Linked DNA regions of Arabidopsis thaliana. The protein of the gene in region 1 interacts with the protein of each later gene in a pairwise test. Each region holds a gene or a part of one and is shown on either strand. Other genes may lie near its edges.

Region 1 (7,742 bases):
GGCGGAGAAGTGTTGTTGTTTTACCGGAGAACATTGGACCGACTACGACGTGGATTTCGCCGGGAGATGAGGAGGAGAGCGGCTGAGATGATGATGATGATGTTACCCTCGTCGCTTTCGTTTGTAGCTTTCTGGTGGAAATGGTGGAAGGAGGTGAATTTGTGGGGGTTATGTTGTTGATTGAGAAGGAGAAGCGAAGAGCGGTGGAGAAGAGAGAGGGTTTATGGAGATGAAGAGAGAAGGGAGCAAGAGATGGTGAGATTAATGTTCTCATCGAAACACCAAACATTTGATAATTACAGAGGAATGGAGGAGGAGGAAGAAGAAGAAGCCGCAAGGAATTAGGGTTTATTGGGAAAAGGGGTCTATTGGAACGACTCTTTGAATTTTTTTGTATTAATGGGTAGCTAGTTTTGGAGTGATTTTTGAACAGATTTCTTTACATATTATTTTAAAAATAAATATTTTGATTATCAATTCAAGCTAGTTTCATGACAAAGAAATAGTATTAGATCGAAATTTTTATTATAATTTTTTTTTTTATAGTGTTTCGATGAGAACATTAATCTCACTATCTTGAATGTGATGAGATTAAATCATTCAAGCTGTTTTTTTTGGTGCTTCAATGTGATGAGTAATCTTGTTATTATAATTTTTTTTTGATGTTTTGTTCGATGATTCTTATTTTTATTGTTATGAATACTTTTACCGTAATATTTAACTTATTTTTTTCTTTAGTGATGAAAATTGCACTAATATATAATTTACTGTTAAATCTTGTTTCTTCGTACTTTTTTTAGAAAATGACTCACATATCTGTTTATGTAATAATTTTTGTGGTATAGTCTTGTATAACTTTAACATTAATTCTAACTTCCATATAATAGAATGATTTTTAGAAGGAAAAAGATATATATGATTTATTGTTATTTATTTGACAAAAAGTCTTGTTTTTTTTTTTGTTTTTTTTTGTTTTTAGCTTATGGTTAAAGAGTTAGGTTTTGGTAAAGTCTATTGTTTATCTTTTGTAATGCGTAGGTAAATTTTGGTGATATTTGATAAATTTTAACAAAAAAAGTGAAAATTATAGAGTTGATAAATTTTGGTGATATTTGATAAATTTTAACAAAAAGAAGTGAAAATTATATAAAAATGAAAAGAAGTAGAAAAGAAGAGAAAAACTAGAGTGAGAATCATTAGACTGTCAATCATAGAGTTGGATTTTTTATTGACCAAAAAGTACAAAAGACGAGGATGAGAGAAAATTATGTAATGTACGGTAAAACGGTGAGTCATCAGATTCCTCTTTTTCAAATTTCATTGATTCCAATTGAAAAATCTCCTCTCCTTCCACTTATTTCTCACATGCATTCTCTCTATATATATGAGCAGCTCCTAGTTTTATAACTCTGCATCTATCCACCTCTCTCTGTAAATTTATCTAAATGTTTCTTTTAATCTTTTTGAGATTAATAATGATTTGTGTTTGTTCATCAACCGATTTTCTCAGATCTGTCAATTATTTTTGTTTATTTATTTATGATTTATGAATGAGGAAAGAGTGAAGTCGCTGGAGGCAGCGGTTCATCGATCAATTCCTGTGAATATTTATTTTTGTTTACAAAAGCAAGAATCGATCGATAAACCTCTGCATCCAGCGCTGCTTGCTCTTCATGACTTTTGTTTAATTGATATCTATTTGAGTATTGCTGAGAAGCAGGACAATGGATTCGATAAAGTCTTCTCAGCTGCTGAAACTAAATATTTAAAATTTATCCCAAATCTAATTCAAAGTATTCATCTTTTAGCTGTTGAGATAGTGAGGGAAAACAAAATTCTTGTATATGAAAAAAGGATAAAATGAAATTGTTTGTTTGTTATTGTTTTGGGTAACAGATCAATTATCATATGTGTTTTTGTTTGTAGTCATGTCTTCATAATTGACTCATATTCTTAAATCTTACAACTTCAGTTTTGTCTTAACTTTTTTTTTTTATTGATCTGTTTTTTAACAATGGTCCTGAATTCTGATGATGCAGTTTTACTTTTGGTTTACATGTATGTATCAAGGTTTGTGTTCCATATGGTCTTTCTTCATCTAGCATTTTTGTTTTTGTTTGTTGAGCCACTGAATCCAACTTGTACTTCTTCAGCTTTGCAGATTAGTAGATCGGTTTTTTTCCTGGCTATGTCTTTTGTCACTACAGACCCTCAACGCTAATTTTGTTCCTGAGCATGGCTATGTTGTTATGAGTTCCTGATATGAAATTTGCTGTGATCTCTTGGTTTCTTGATGCAATGTGTGCTTTTGCTTACTTCTCTGGCTCTTTTAAGTATTACCTACATAGACATTGCATAATTCTAAAACCTTTGCTTTTGCATTACTATGTTCATTCTTGGCAAGTGATAAGGAATCCACGTAGAATAGTATAATACAATCAAAAACTTTGATACATTGCGCAATGAGTGCGTGATGATAACCCTTTAATCAGGATCCAAGTGGTGATATTCACTGATTAATAACCTTCTAGAGAGCCATGCTATACTTCTTGTTCTTTTCGTATTACTATTTATGAAACTGGCTGTTCAAGAAGAATCAAATTCACTCCTTAAACTTTCTTGTTGTAAAAGACACTTTTGTTATAAGTCATTGGTCTTCCTGTGTCCTCTCTTTTTTTCCCTCACCTTTGGCAGCACAGAGAAAAGGTGAGGGAATCTTGTGAAGTGAAAGGATTCCTTAGCTCGTGGGTTTTAAAATTCCTTGGAGCAAAACTTCAAATGGTATCATGATTCCATTTTCAAATTAGGTAAGAAAAGGAGAATCTTGTTCTTTTTCAAGATCAAGACTTGTTATCTTTCTTATATTCCTCACACAAGAGGGGCTGTTAAAATATGAGAAAATACTGTTTCTCTACAATGTTCTTATATAGAATTTGTGATGATGGTAGCACTACTAATAATATGATACCACTCTCTAGGCTGATGCTTTAACAAACATGAACTTAATAGCATAGTTTAAATGGTGAGCTTGCTTGTTTTAAGGTCTAGTAATGGTACTACTATACATTTTGTGGAATTATATACTTGTAAATGCTATGGAACTAGTGATCATGTGTGTTTGCTCGTCTTCCTTCAATCATGGGAAAGTTAATAAAGTGAGTCTATAATTTTACTAGTAGACGGTTGACCAAGTGTAGGTAGTTTACTTCACTTGATCAGCATGCTCAAATCTGTTCAAATTTTTAGGAGAGTAAACAGGAACCACAAGAACGGAACCTAAACCAACATCAGTCCAATTTAAGATACTTGGTTTTGTACGGAATGAAGTTTAATAGCAGTTTTCGGTCTTGGTTCATACAAGATGATGTTTATTGGCTTTGATTGGTAACACAATTTGAGGCGCTTGGAGCGGAGGTTGAACCGCTTCTTTGATTACCAATCGAACTGATGGAACTCATTGTTAGAAGAGGCGGCTAAAACAGATAGCTACTTCGTGTACAACCATAAGCATGTTTCAATGTACAGTATTCATTTTTTGTTGCTCTTATTCTGTAGTACACCTCTGATATTACTGCTACAATGAAATTCTTGTACGACATATATCAAAGTATTGGATTGGCAACGAACGGCTAAGCTTTAACACAAAAATGCCACGTAGGATTAGTCTGACCAATAAGAATCCATCTTTCAAATCCCCTTCCTTCAATCTTAACCAGAAAACTCAATTTATTTATAATCTTTAGAAAAAGGTACTTGAAGAAACAGTTTGCAGACAACATTGAAGAGAAGCTCTAAAGATTCTTTGTCTCTTTCTCTGTCGCATTGATTTGTAAAAAAGTGTGGCAGAGAGAAACCATGGCTATGGCGGAAATGGCAACGAAGTCTTCACTATCTGCAAAACTCACTCTTCCTTCTTCTTCTACTAAGAAGACACTGAGTCTGAGACAAGTCTCTGTTTCACTTCCAACATCAACTTCAATCTCTCTGTTATCTCTCTTTGCATCTCCTCCTCATGAAGCTAAAGCTGCTGTTTCCATTCCCAAGGACCAAATCGTCTCCTCTCTCACTGAAGTATATATAATAATCTCACTTTACTTCTTGAAATGACCAAAATGTCTCCTTTTTGTTGATGAGTGTTCTTGTGTCTTAACAGGTGGAGAAAACAATCAACCAAGTTCAAGAAACTGGTTCTAGTGTATTTGATGCAACGCAGCGTGTGTTCCAAGTAGTAGGAGATGCTCTTAAACCAGCTTTGGACACTGCTTTACCCATTGCAAAGCAAGCTGGTGAAGAAGCTATGAAGCTTGCTTCTCCTGCTTTCTCTGAAGCTTCAAAGAAAGCTCAAGAAGCAATGCAGAGCTCTGGTTTTGATTCTGAGCCTGTCTTTAATGCTGCAAAGGTCAGATTTCTTACATTCAAATATGTATGAGAACATAACAATTTAGGTTTTGGGGTTTAGGGTTTGAAGTGGTTTGTCTGTGTTTTGGTTGGGATGTAGACAGTAACAGATGTAGCACAACAGACGTCAAAAGCGATAGAAGATGCTAAACCGATTGCTTCATCGACCATGGATACGATTTCTTCAGCTGACCCTAGTGTCATTGTTGTTGCTGCTGGTGCTGCGTTTCTTGCTTACCTTCTTCTCCCTCCTGTTTTCTCTGCCATCTCTTTTAACTTCCGTGGTTACAAAGGTACCTCAAGACTCCATATAGATCATCTTGAGAACATATATAAGTTTTTGATTTGGTTATTAGTGATCTATTTTGTATCTAGAGTCTAATTCACCATAGCAAAATGCTGACAATTACTCTGTGTTTCTGGTTTGTGTTTTTTTAATAAAGGTGATCTTACGCCGGCTCAAACGCTTGACCTTCTTTGCACCAAGAACTACTTGATGGTGGATATAAGATCAGAGAAAGACAAGGAGAAAGCCGGGATTCCACGGCTCCCTTCGAATGCTAAGAACCGCGTGATCTCCATTCCGTATGTGTCTATCTAACTTTGATAATTCTTTTCATTATTATTATACTCAAAACATTGAACCTGTTCTTGTGATTATCAGATTAGAAGAACTACCAAACAAAGTAAAAGGAATCGTGAGGAACTCTAAACGAGTTGAAGCAGAGATAGCAGCATTAAAGATTTCTTACCTCAAGAAAATCAACAAAGGCTCCAATATCATCATCTTGGACTCGTGAGTTTTGATTATTACTCTTTTACAAGACCTTTTTTGTGAATCTTGCTTAATCTTTATTGGTCTTTTTGGCTCGTAGGTACACGGATTCGGCTAAGATAGTGGCGAAAACGTTAAAGGTTCTCGGGTACAAGAATTGCTATATTGTGACAGATGGATTCTCTGGTGGCAGAGGATGGTTGCAGAGCCGTTTAGGCACTGATTCTTACAACTTCTCGTTTGCACAAGTCTTGTCTCCATCGCGGATTATCCCGGCAGCTTCGAGAAGCTTTGGCACTAGGTCCGGAACCAAGTTCCTTCCTAGCTCCGACTGAAAACAGAGGATATATATAGTTTTACAAGTGTTGTTTAGTATTCCTTTATTTCTCAACTTTGAGAGATCTTTTGATAAGATAAGATTTTCGAATTACTTACTTACTTGTCTTTTACATTGATGATCATATATGGAAAAGATTACATCAAACTGAAGTAGTAGCTAATCATCTAAAAGAAAAAATGTATGATCAAAAACCGGGATGAGTTTGGCCTATAGTGGTAGGAAAAAATTGGGATAAAGACTAAATTCATAATGAGTTATGGACAACTAATTGTAATATCACATAGATGCACAATCATTTTGGACCATCTGGTAGGTGTGTGTGTGTGGCCTAGCCTTATCACTTAGTGGGATTGCCAATAGCTTTTTGCCGAAAATCCATTTTACAAATGGTTGAAGATAATAAAAATTAGACAAGTTTTTTTTTTTGTGGAGTTTAGTTTAGTGCTTTCAATCATGTGAAAACCAAGATATAAATTTTGAAAACTATTATAAATATTGTGCAATAGTTGAAGTATATACAAACTATTTTTAATCAAAATGTTGTCTAATTAATATTAATTGTAACACCGGTCACTCCGAATTGTAACAAAATTGTCTATTTTGCTAACGGATTCTACACCAAATTAAATAAAATTTATATAGACTAACATATATTGCTCTACTGATCCATACAATCTAAATTGATAGTGTATATAGACTGAAATCAATAAATAAAAGACATAAACCAAATAAGATGATGATCAAAAGTCGAAAAGAGAAAGCAAAAAAAAAAGGTGTAAGAGATCAGTACCACTACATAATGTATATAGACTGAGACCAATTTCAAGATACATAAAATCATATAAAGTAACCAAATGTAAAGTGTTATCTTCTTTTCCTCAATATATCAATCAATCAACATTTTTTTTCTTTCACTTTCATTATGATTCCTAACATATAAATAACTAAACTTAGTTTGTCCCAAAAAAAAAAATACCCAACTAAACTTAAGGTAAAAAATTGGTCATAGTAACATATCGACAATGTATATAATATGGAGCCTAGATTCTGAAATGATTCATAGATTAAGAATACAAGTTCATATCTCATACAATGTATATAGACTGATATCAATAAAAAGATTCATATCATAATATAACATGAAGATAAAAAAAAAGTAACTCCTATCACCAAGAAGAAGAAGATAATCCAATCAGACGTGTAAAGAGCGAAAAAAAGCTATCAAATATCAGAATCAGATTGACACGTGGCGATCACGAGCTCTCTTTATATTACGTGGACAATTTTGCCACTCTTCTCTCTGCCACTCTCATCATTTTTTGAATCATTCATGATTTCTTAGCTCTCTCAAAAAAATGGCGTACAAATCCCTAAATTCAATCACCAAATCTGATATCGAAGCTCTAGGAATCTCCGGTGATGTCTCCGAGAAGCTTCTCAGAGATCTCGAAGACATTATTCACGGTTCATCCACGCCGCCGGAGACGTGGATTCAGATTTCTCGGCGGATCCTTCACCCTAATCTCCCTTTCTCTTTTCACCAGATGATGTATTACGGTTGCTACAAGGATTTCGGACCCGACCTACCCGCTTGGATACCCGACCCGTACGAATTGTTTGTTTACCATAAATTGATTTTTCTCCGTTTGTTTCAGATTCTTATGATTTTGGCTTTGTTGTATATTATAGGAAGGTTGCTTCTTTAACTAACGTAGGCAAGTTATTAGAAAAGCGAGGCAAAGAGTTTTTAGGTGGAAATTACAAGAATCCAGTTTCGAGTTTCTCCAGTTTTCAAGAGTTCTCTGTATCAAATCCTGAGGTAACTAACATTGGTGTTATTATTATTGTTATGCCTTAAGTTTTCGTGATTATGTGTTTTGTAATTCTATGGTGATTATCTTGATCAGGTGTATTGGAAAACTGTATTGGATGAGTTAAACATATTGTTCTCTGTACCTCCTAAGTGTATATTAGAGAAGGATACTTCTGGAGATAATCCTGGAGGTAAATGGCTTCCTGGAGCTTACTTGAATCCTGCAAGAAATTGTTTGACTAATGGTTTCAAGAGAAGATTGGATGATATTGTGATTCGATGGCGTGATGAAGGAAGCGATGATCTTCCTGTGAATACCATGACACTTTTGGAGTTAAGATCGCAGGTCTGGTATGAAATTCCCATCCTTGTGGCCTTTCTTTGGTGAATAACGCTTTAAAGTTGTTTCCTTTACT
Region 2 (8,121 bases), 4.6 Mb from region 1:
TGGGTGATGGATAATGACTTAATGTCACAACCTTTGCTTTTGGCTGCAAATCACTTACATATCTCTTTAACTTGTGATCTTGTATCTTTTGCAATTCTTGACTTTGATGAATGAAGTTTTGTATTTTTTTTTTTTTGTTTTGTTGCTAGTTGAAGAAATATGAATACAACCTCGACACATTTTGTTCCACCGAGAAGGTTTGAAGTTTACGAGCCTCTCAACCAAATCGGTATGTGGGAAGAAAGTTTCAAGAACAATGGAGACATGTATACGCCTGGCTCTATCATAATCCCGACTAACGAAAAACCAGACAGCTTGGTACTTCAAAGTTTGCTATATATTTCAGATAAAGTGAATTCAGAAACTAATGCTTGCTTTAATCTTTGTTCAGTCAGAGGATACTTCTCATGGGACAGAAGGAACTCCTCACAAGTTTGACCAAGAGGCTTCCACATCTAGACATCCTGATAAGGTAAGTTATAATATAGCTCATTTGGTTATCTTAATTCCTTGAAGATTTTGTCATTTTAATCTTTATGTCTTCACAGATACAGAGAAGGCTAGCACAGAATCGAGAGGCAGCTAGGAAAAGTCGTTTGCGCAAGAAAGTATGAAACTTTATGTTCCTGCAACTCGTAAAACAGTTTTGTTTTCTTTAAACTGAGCTATAGAGTATTTTCTTGCAGGCTTATGTTCAGCAGCTAGAGACTAGCCGGTTAAAGCTAATTCATTTAGAGCAAGAACTCGATCGTGCTAGACAACAGGTTTGCACAAAATATTATTCTTCCTTAAGTATCTTGTTGATGTAATAATATATGATCATAATGTTGCAGGGTTTCTATGTGGGGAACGGAGTAGATACCAATGCTCTTAGTTTCTCAGATAACATGAGCTCAGGTTTGAGTCTTCTTTCACCTTTAGCGTTTAGGTAGTTTCCATTTGATTTTGAGATTCATCAGTTTTCTTTTTCTTGTTAGGGATTGTTGCATTTGAGATGGAATATGGACATTGGGTGGAAGAACAGAACAGGCAAATATGTGAACTAAGAACGGTTTTACATGGACAAGTTAGTGATATAGAGCTTCGTTCTCTAGTCGAGAATGCCATGAAACATTACTTTCAACTCTTCCGAATGAAGTCAGCCGCTGCAAAAATCGATGTTTTCTATGTCATGTCCGGAATGTGGAAAACTTCAGCAGAGCGGTTTTTCTTGTGGATAGGCGGATTTAGACCCTCAGAGCTTCTCAAGGTAATAGAAAAACCTGTCATTAATCCATAAATTGTAATGGTTTTTTTTGCAATGATTTTGGATATGGATTTTTTTTTTTGTGTTAGGTTCTGTTACCGCATTTTGATCCTTTGACGGATCAACAACTTTTGGATGTATGTAATCTGAGGCAATCATGTCAACAAGCAGAAGATGCGTTATCCCAAGGTATGGAGAAACTGCAACATACATTAGCAGAGAGTGTAGCAGCCGGGAAACTTGGTGAAGGAAGTTATATTCCTCAAATGACTTGTGCTATGGAGAGATTGGAGGCTTTGGTCAGCTTTGTAAATCAAGTAAGAAAGAAATGTTTTTACAAAAACTAACGAAGGATAACAACTAGTTTCTTGAGTTTGTTGTTGTTCTTAAACTGTTTTGTTGTTGTAGGCTGATCATCTGAGACATGAGACATTGCAACAGATGCATCGGATCTTAACCACGCGACAAGCGGCTAGAGGTTTGTTAGCATTAGGGGAGTATTTCCAAAGGCTTCGAGCTTTGAGTTCGAGTTGGGCGGCTAGGCAACGTGAACCAACGTAATTAAGGTGTTTAGATGTCAAGAAAGGTTTGAGACCTTAACAATCAAGAATGGAGTTTGCTGGTGAGTGGATTTTTGGGTCAAGAACAAGAGCAATAACACAAGCTGCTGTGTGATGATGAATCTTGTCTTGCGGCTAAAGGAAATGTTTGAGGAAAGTTGTACATATGATCAGCAACGTAAAGTTTATAGCTTTTTAGAAACCAACTTTTCGATGGTTGTTCTTTTTTTTTTGTATGTAATATTATAGATAAGCTTGTGGTATATATGATTTTAATGTGACATTACGAACTTGATTTATAACCATGGTAAAATTATTTAACAAAATATGTAATAATAGAATGGGGGAAGGGGAATAAATAAAAAGACATTAGTGAAAATTACAAAAATCAATGTGAATCATATATAGTCGAAAAGAGATAAAAAAAACAATTTATAAAAAAAAGAATCAATAAGCAAACACAAATGTTTCTGTCAGAATCAATGGGATTAGATTTTCTTCTACCTTTACAAGGAAGGGGAAAAATAATCAACAAAAAATAAATGTAAGAACACCTGAGGATCATTCTGAATCATCTGATCAAACTACTAGAGAGAAACATAAAACCAGAAAAGAAGAAGAAAAAATGGGATGATGTGTGAAAGGAAATCCATGGAGATTTACAGAAAAATTTAGAAGAGATAAAAAAACAAACAAATCTCAGGCAGAAATTGAAGTAAGATGATCAAGAACTTGTCTGATGTTAGGCCTTTCATTGACAGAGAGAATGCACCTGATTGCAACAGCAAGTGCATCCTCCATTCCCTTTGAGAACTCTTCCCCACCTGCTATGTCTCTGTCTATGCAATCCATTCTCCTTCCTTCTTGATCACACAACCTCACCCAATCGGTCAGATCAACGGCTCCTGTTTGACCTGAGATTATGTCACCTGCGCTCCGTCTAGTCAAAAGCTCCATGAGAATCACACCAAACGCATAGACATCGGATTTGAGTGTTGGTATCGGTTTGGAAGCCGAGGAAAGTTCAGGAGCAGAGTAACCGAGTGCACTCATGTTTAGTATCTGTTCCGCTACACCAGATGGAGTCATCAAACGGTGAACACAGTAATCAGTTATTCGCACGGTATTGTCAGGACTTGAGAGGATTATGTTAGTTGGCTTCAAGTTCCCGTGTGGCATTGCTCTATCATGAAGGTAGAGAAGACACTGAGCCACTTCAACTGCAACTTTTAGTCTTTGGCTGAAGGACATTGGAGAATACCTCCGAGGAGTAGTCTCTGCACAGAAAATTTGGCAGGGTGATTAACTTTTTTTCAAACAAGATACAGAAAGGCTTGTAGTTATAGGACTAAAAAGACTAATTAAAAGATCTTCTAACCGTAAAGATGCATGGCTAAGCTCTCTCCTCTCAGGTAATCAGACAGGAGAAGTCTTTCTTGTTCTCTGGGACCCCAATAGTATGCTCGCAACGGAACAATGTTAGGATGTTTTAAAGAGCCGATTTTTTTGGCTTCCCGTGCGAAATCTTTCTTATGCCTCACGAGGCCAACTCTCAACCATTTCACCGTCAACATGTGTCCATTATCCAGTGTTGCTTTGTACAGTGTTCCATGGCTGCTTCTACCTAGAACTTCTGCAGGAGCTCGGGATAACTCTTCTGCTGTGAGTTTTAGTGAAACGTCTAAGAAGAAGAGTTCTCCGGCCAATCTATCAGGTGAGTAAACATCTAACATCACAGGCTGGTCGCTAAAACGGGGTGAGGAGGATAGTGGGGAGCCTCCTGAAGAAGACTTGCGCCCAGATGCTGCAGGATAATCATCAAGGAGGTTTGTAGGAGCAGAAGTAGCAGGCGCACCCTGCTCGGATATTTCAGCTTCACATCCGGGTATCCCAGATAACGACCTTGAATTTGCGGTGAGCAAGTGATCGTTTGAGAAGCTCAAAGATGATGACTGCTGCTCAACATTTGAGCTGAAGTTGAATAAGGAGGGACGAGAAGAGCGTCCAAACTTGGTGTCTCTAGTCGTTGCTTGGTCTGTAAATCTATTCCTCCCGTGAAAGTCCTTGAGCTGTGTTCGATGATAGGCAAACAAGACAAAAAGAATCATAATAGCAGCTCCAACTGAAGCAACAATAATCGCTATTCTTATGCTAAGCTTCGAATGATGTTTTTTCCCAGGTAAAGACAGATCACCAGAAGAATCCGCTGGAATCCGTCCTGGGAGACTTAGCTTGGAGTTACCAGGATAAAATGAAGAAGGCGGGTAGCTTCTAAGGTCTTCCGGAATTATGCCTGATAGGTCGTTATACGACACATTGAATCCCACCATTTGGGAAGGAAGCTTATTGGGAATTTGACCCTTGAAAGTATTGTTTGACAAGTCAAGGAACAAAAGGCCACTAAGCTTGTTGAGGTCGCTTGGAAGTTCCCCGGACAGCTTATTATTGGCAAGATTCAGCACTTTAATTTTTTCCATTGTACCTATATCCCCAGGCAGCATACCCGTCAAAGAATTGGTTGAAAGGTCAAGTAACTCCATCTGCGGATAAGAATTTAGAACCAAAAGTTCGCTTGCACGTGAACCTCGAAAAGGAATTGGCCCCTCCAAGTTATTCCTAGAAAGATTCAAACTTCTCAAGCTTGCAAAAGTGAAGAAACTCACTGGAATGAAGCCACTGAACTTATTTGAACTGAGATCAATCACAGAGAATTGAGAATCACCCCACAGAGAAGGCAAGCTACCAGAGACAGAATTATTCCTAATGCTCAACACACTTAATCTTGAAAATGCAGAAGTAAAGTTCGGCAAGCTTCCCGACAAGTTGTTTGAGCTAAGATCAAGAACATCTGGAGTAGCTTCCCACTTTTGAACAACAGACACGTCGCCAGAGAAAGTATTCCCACTCAAATCTATCACTGAGCAACTTTTAAAACTCGACGGAAGATCCCCAGACAGGCCGTTAGAAGAAAGATTCAACATAGTTAACGTTGATGAATTGATTTCACTAATTGATCCTGCATTTGAACCAAAAGAAACTCCTTTAATATACATTTATACAACAGCTTCAGACAATGTGACACAAGTGTCTAGTCAAGACCATGAAACCAGTCAAATCAATGCTCAATGACATAAAGTTCAATAATTCTATTCCTGTATACCCTAAAAGTAGCAAGAAGAGAAAAGTTGTAAGATTTGAATTAACCTGTAAAACCGTTTCGACTTAGATCTAGCTCTAGCAAAGGAATCGAACTCTGCAACAACTCTTGAGGTACTAAACCGAACAACTCGTTACGAGCAAGCTTCAATATTCTCAAACTCGGCTGTGATCCAAAATGCGGTAACTCACCATTGATCTGGTTATTCTCTAAGTCAACAATCTCGAGATTCTTGAACGAACCAATGGACTCCTCACTGAAAAACTTGCCATTTAACGCATTGTGGCTCAAATTCAAGTGACGGAGAGTGTTGGAAATGCTGGAAATGTTCTCCATTGGTAAAGATAAGCCACCGTTGAAACGGTTACAGCTCAAATCAACGAACTCAACATTCTTAAGCTCAGTGAAAATCTCACCAACATCTCCCCAAATCTCGTTCTTATGCAAATCCAAAGATCTTAGCTGCTGAAGATTCCGAAAGCCACTAGGAAACCCACCTTCGAACTTGTTGGAAGACAAATTGAGATGATTCAAACTCCAAAGCTCCGAGATCCGACCCGGTATAGGTCCGTAGAAACCGTTATCCGACAGATCTAAGTGTTGAAGCGACGAGATTCCACCCAATGAAGGAACGACCCGACCCGAGAAGCTGTTTCCGGATAAAGAGAGGTTACGAAGACGAGTAAGACCAGAGAGAGTGCTGAATTTGAGTTCGCCGGAGAGACCACGACGGTCGAGATTAATGGCGATGATTGAACCGGTTTCAGGGTCGCAAGAGATACCAGGCCAGTCATTAGGGCAAGTAGATGGATCAGTGAGGCTGCTTGTATCTGACCATGAGATTCGTTGGTGTGAGGTCTCGTCACGGATCCCTTTACGGAACTCGAGTAGAGATCGGAGCTCCGTCTCGGTGACGGCGTTGGCACCGTGGAGGAGGAGAAGGAGTGAGAGGAAGCAGAAAGTGAGAAAATGACTCATTTAGCCCTGAAGAATCTATCTACTCCACAGAAGCAAATGCAGAGTGAGAAACACAGAAAGAATAAACCCTAGTAAGGATTCATAGCTGAGACTTGAGAGAAGAGAGAAACAGAGAGACGGAGATTTAGGGATTGTACTCGGAATCTGAAAAAAATTGAAAGAGGGGAAGAAGAAGAAGAGAGAGAGAAGAGTGTGTTTTTGAGGTTTTCCAAAAAAAAATCGAATTTTTATATTAGTTTTCTTATACTTCTTTATGGTATGACATTTTTTTCTATGCAATCAGAGATTAATACTAGTTTCCAATTTAAAGTTCAGATATTTTAAAAACTTTTATCATTTTAGGAATTATGAGTTTTCTCTTTACCTACTTTTACTCTAGTTAATGGAATCAATTTTTTGTTAATGGAATCTATAATTACTGATTAGTGATTACTCTCTCTAGTTCTTTTTTCTTTTTTGGTAACCTGACTACCAGTTTTTTTTTCTCTCATGTTAAAAAAACTTATGTTTTTACATAGACCATAGTGTGATCTCTTTTGAATATTCTCTGACATTCAAATAAGTAACCAAACCACATAAAATGGACTCAAAAAGGTGTTTTGGGGAAACCATCTTAGAAGACCAGTGACTATTGTTCAAAGGTTTTACTTAAAATCAATCATACCGTGAAAAAAAGACTACTTTAAATGAAAAAGAGTTGTTAGATGTGTCATTACATTTTGTTACACTAATTGCGTCAAGTCATTATCACTTATCAGCATTTATCATCTTTGTTATTACATATACTAGTTTAGGAAACATAATTAACTTGACGTAGTTAATGATACCAAAACCGGTAGATTCAAAACCAGGATATGAGTACAAGTACCAACCCAAAATATTTGTTTAAAAGGATATAACAATAAATATTATTTTTTTAAAAGGTGAAAAGAGAGGAAGAGAAGTGGTGGAATAATATATGATTAGTTTGCACTTTGCAGATAAGTAAAAAAACAGACTGGAAAGGACAATGGCATGTCTTTGAGTCGCTGTGTCTTTTCTTTTTTTTTCTCTTTTCTGAAGATGAAGAAAATTCGCACCCAAACCCTTTTTCTCACATGCAACACAACGTGACGGGGATATTGTAAGTAACGCCGTTAAGTTCTTTGTCCGTACACTGTACTACTCCTTAAACGGGAACGGAGATACTAAATAAGAGAAGAACGTGGTCTGTCATACTCAATTACTACTACTCTTCCGGACCAACCTGTCTATTTTTTTTCCCCTAATCACATACATTATTCTGTGTAAATTAGCTAAATATGACCATAATTTGCTATTTTAATTTAAATAATTAGTTGACAAAACATAAATTATTGACATTTCATGCAAAAATAAATAAATAACTTGACTACCCTAAGGTTAATAAGCTTTTTGAAGATTTATGGCACTGTTTGACTGATTGATTTATACATTCCCACTTGGAATATATATCTCCTTGTCGCGAATTTTAATGATAATACAAATATATATATAAACATTATAACTCTTGAGTAGTCTATTTATTTGCTCCTTTTAGAATGTCATTTTCTCTAACCATAAAATGAAAGATGCCAAACTTATTATATTTTGTCTATGTCTGTCCATCTCTCTTTCATATAATATATTATTGGGTCCAACTAAATAATACCATTTTGTTATTGTCGAAACTTTGACAACTAGTTGGAAAACCCCCACTAAAATACTCTTACTTTTCTTATAATTAGCATAATCGTCTAGAGTCTAAAGTAATGTGAGAAATGCCATTGCAATTTAAGAAAAACTTAAAGCATAGAGAGATAAAAAGCTGTCTCGATTTTCCGCAAAAAGAATTGGGTTCCCGTGACTCTTCTAAGATCTCAAGTACTCCCGAGGAGAATACAAACTCATAAAAGTAAAAGACATTTTGTCCTACAAACTTGGCTTAATAACTATAAAAGCTCAAAGAGTTTCTGAGAGCACCTGTGATTAAAAATAACTTTGATTTCTGCTGAAGCTTCCAAGAAAAGCTTTCTGGCTTCTCAAACATCTGATCATCTGATCTCAAAGGACTTCATGAGCCTTTCCATAGTATCGGTTAATGAATGGGGACTGCAAAAACAGAAGAAGCGAAAACCAGATCATTCACATACTCAGAGCTTTGTAACAAACTATAATCAAAA

The links. Proteins that work in one complex are often made in the same cells at the same time.
Region 2: the proteins of CaS (region 1) and AT5G10020 interact in a protein complementation assay, tested with the Arabidopsis thaliana proteins (one large-scale study listed by BioGRID).

What each region holds. Positions count from the first base shown.
Region 1 is NC_003076.8:7,734,526-7,742,267, reverse strand, and holds CaS (calcium sensing receptor), read left to right. Parts: upstream 1-3,732; 5' UTR 3,733-3,855; coding exon 3,856-4,071; intron 4,072-4,153; coding exon 4,154-4,399; intron 4,400-4,498; coding exon 4,499-4,691; intron 4,692-4,841; coding exon 4,842-4,983; intron 4,984-5,062; coding exon 5,063-5,194; coding exon of another isoform or gene 5,195-5,198; exon of another isoform or gene 5,199-5,273; coding exon 5,274-5,508; 3' UTR 5,509-5,750; downstream 5,751-7,742. Other genes in the region: TK1b (Thymidine kinase), read right to left, coding at 1-289; AAE17 (acyl-activating enzyme 17), read left to right, coding at 6,869-7,119, 7,203-7,332, 7,421-7,677. UniProt on the Arabidopsis thaliana protein: Modulates cytoplasmic Ca(2+) concentration and is crucial for proper stomatal regulation in response to elevated levels of external Ca(2+).
Region 2 is NC_003076.8:3,131,334-3,139,454, reverse strand, and holds AT5G10020 (Leucine-rich receptor-like protein kinase family protein), read right to left. Parts: upstream 6,212-8,121; 5' UTR 5,942-6,211; coding exon 5,011-5,941; intron 4,823-5,010; coding exon 3,185-4,822; intron 3,084-3,184; coding exon 2,506-3,083; 3' UTR 2,213-2,505; downstream 1-2,212. Other genes in the region: TGA4 (TGACG motif-binding factor 4), read left to right, coding at 160-318, 392-472, 549-608, 687-764, 834-897, 978-1,249, 1,336-1,563, 1,655-1,807; AT5G10010 (myosin-H heavy protein), read right to left, coding at 8,003-8,050.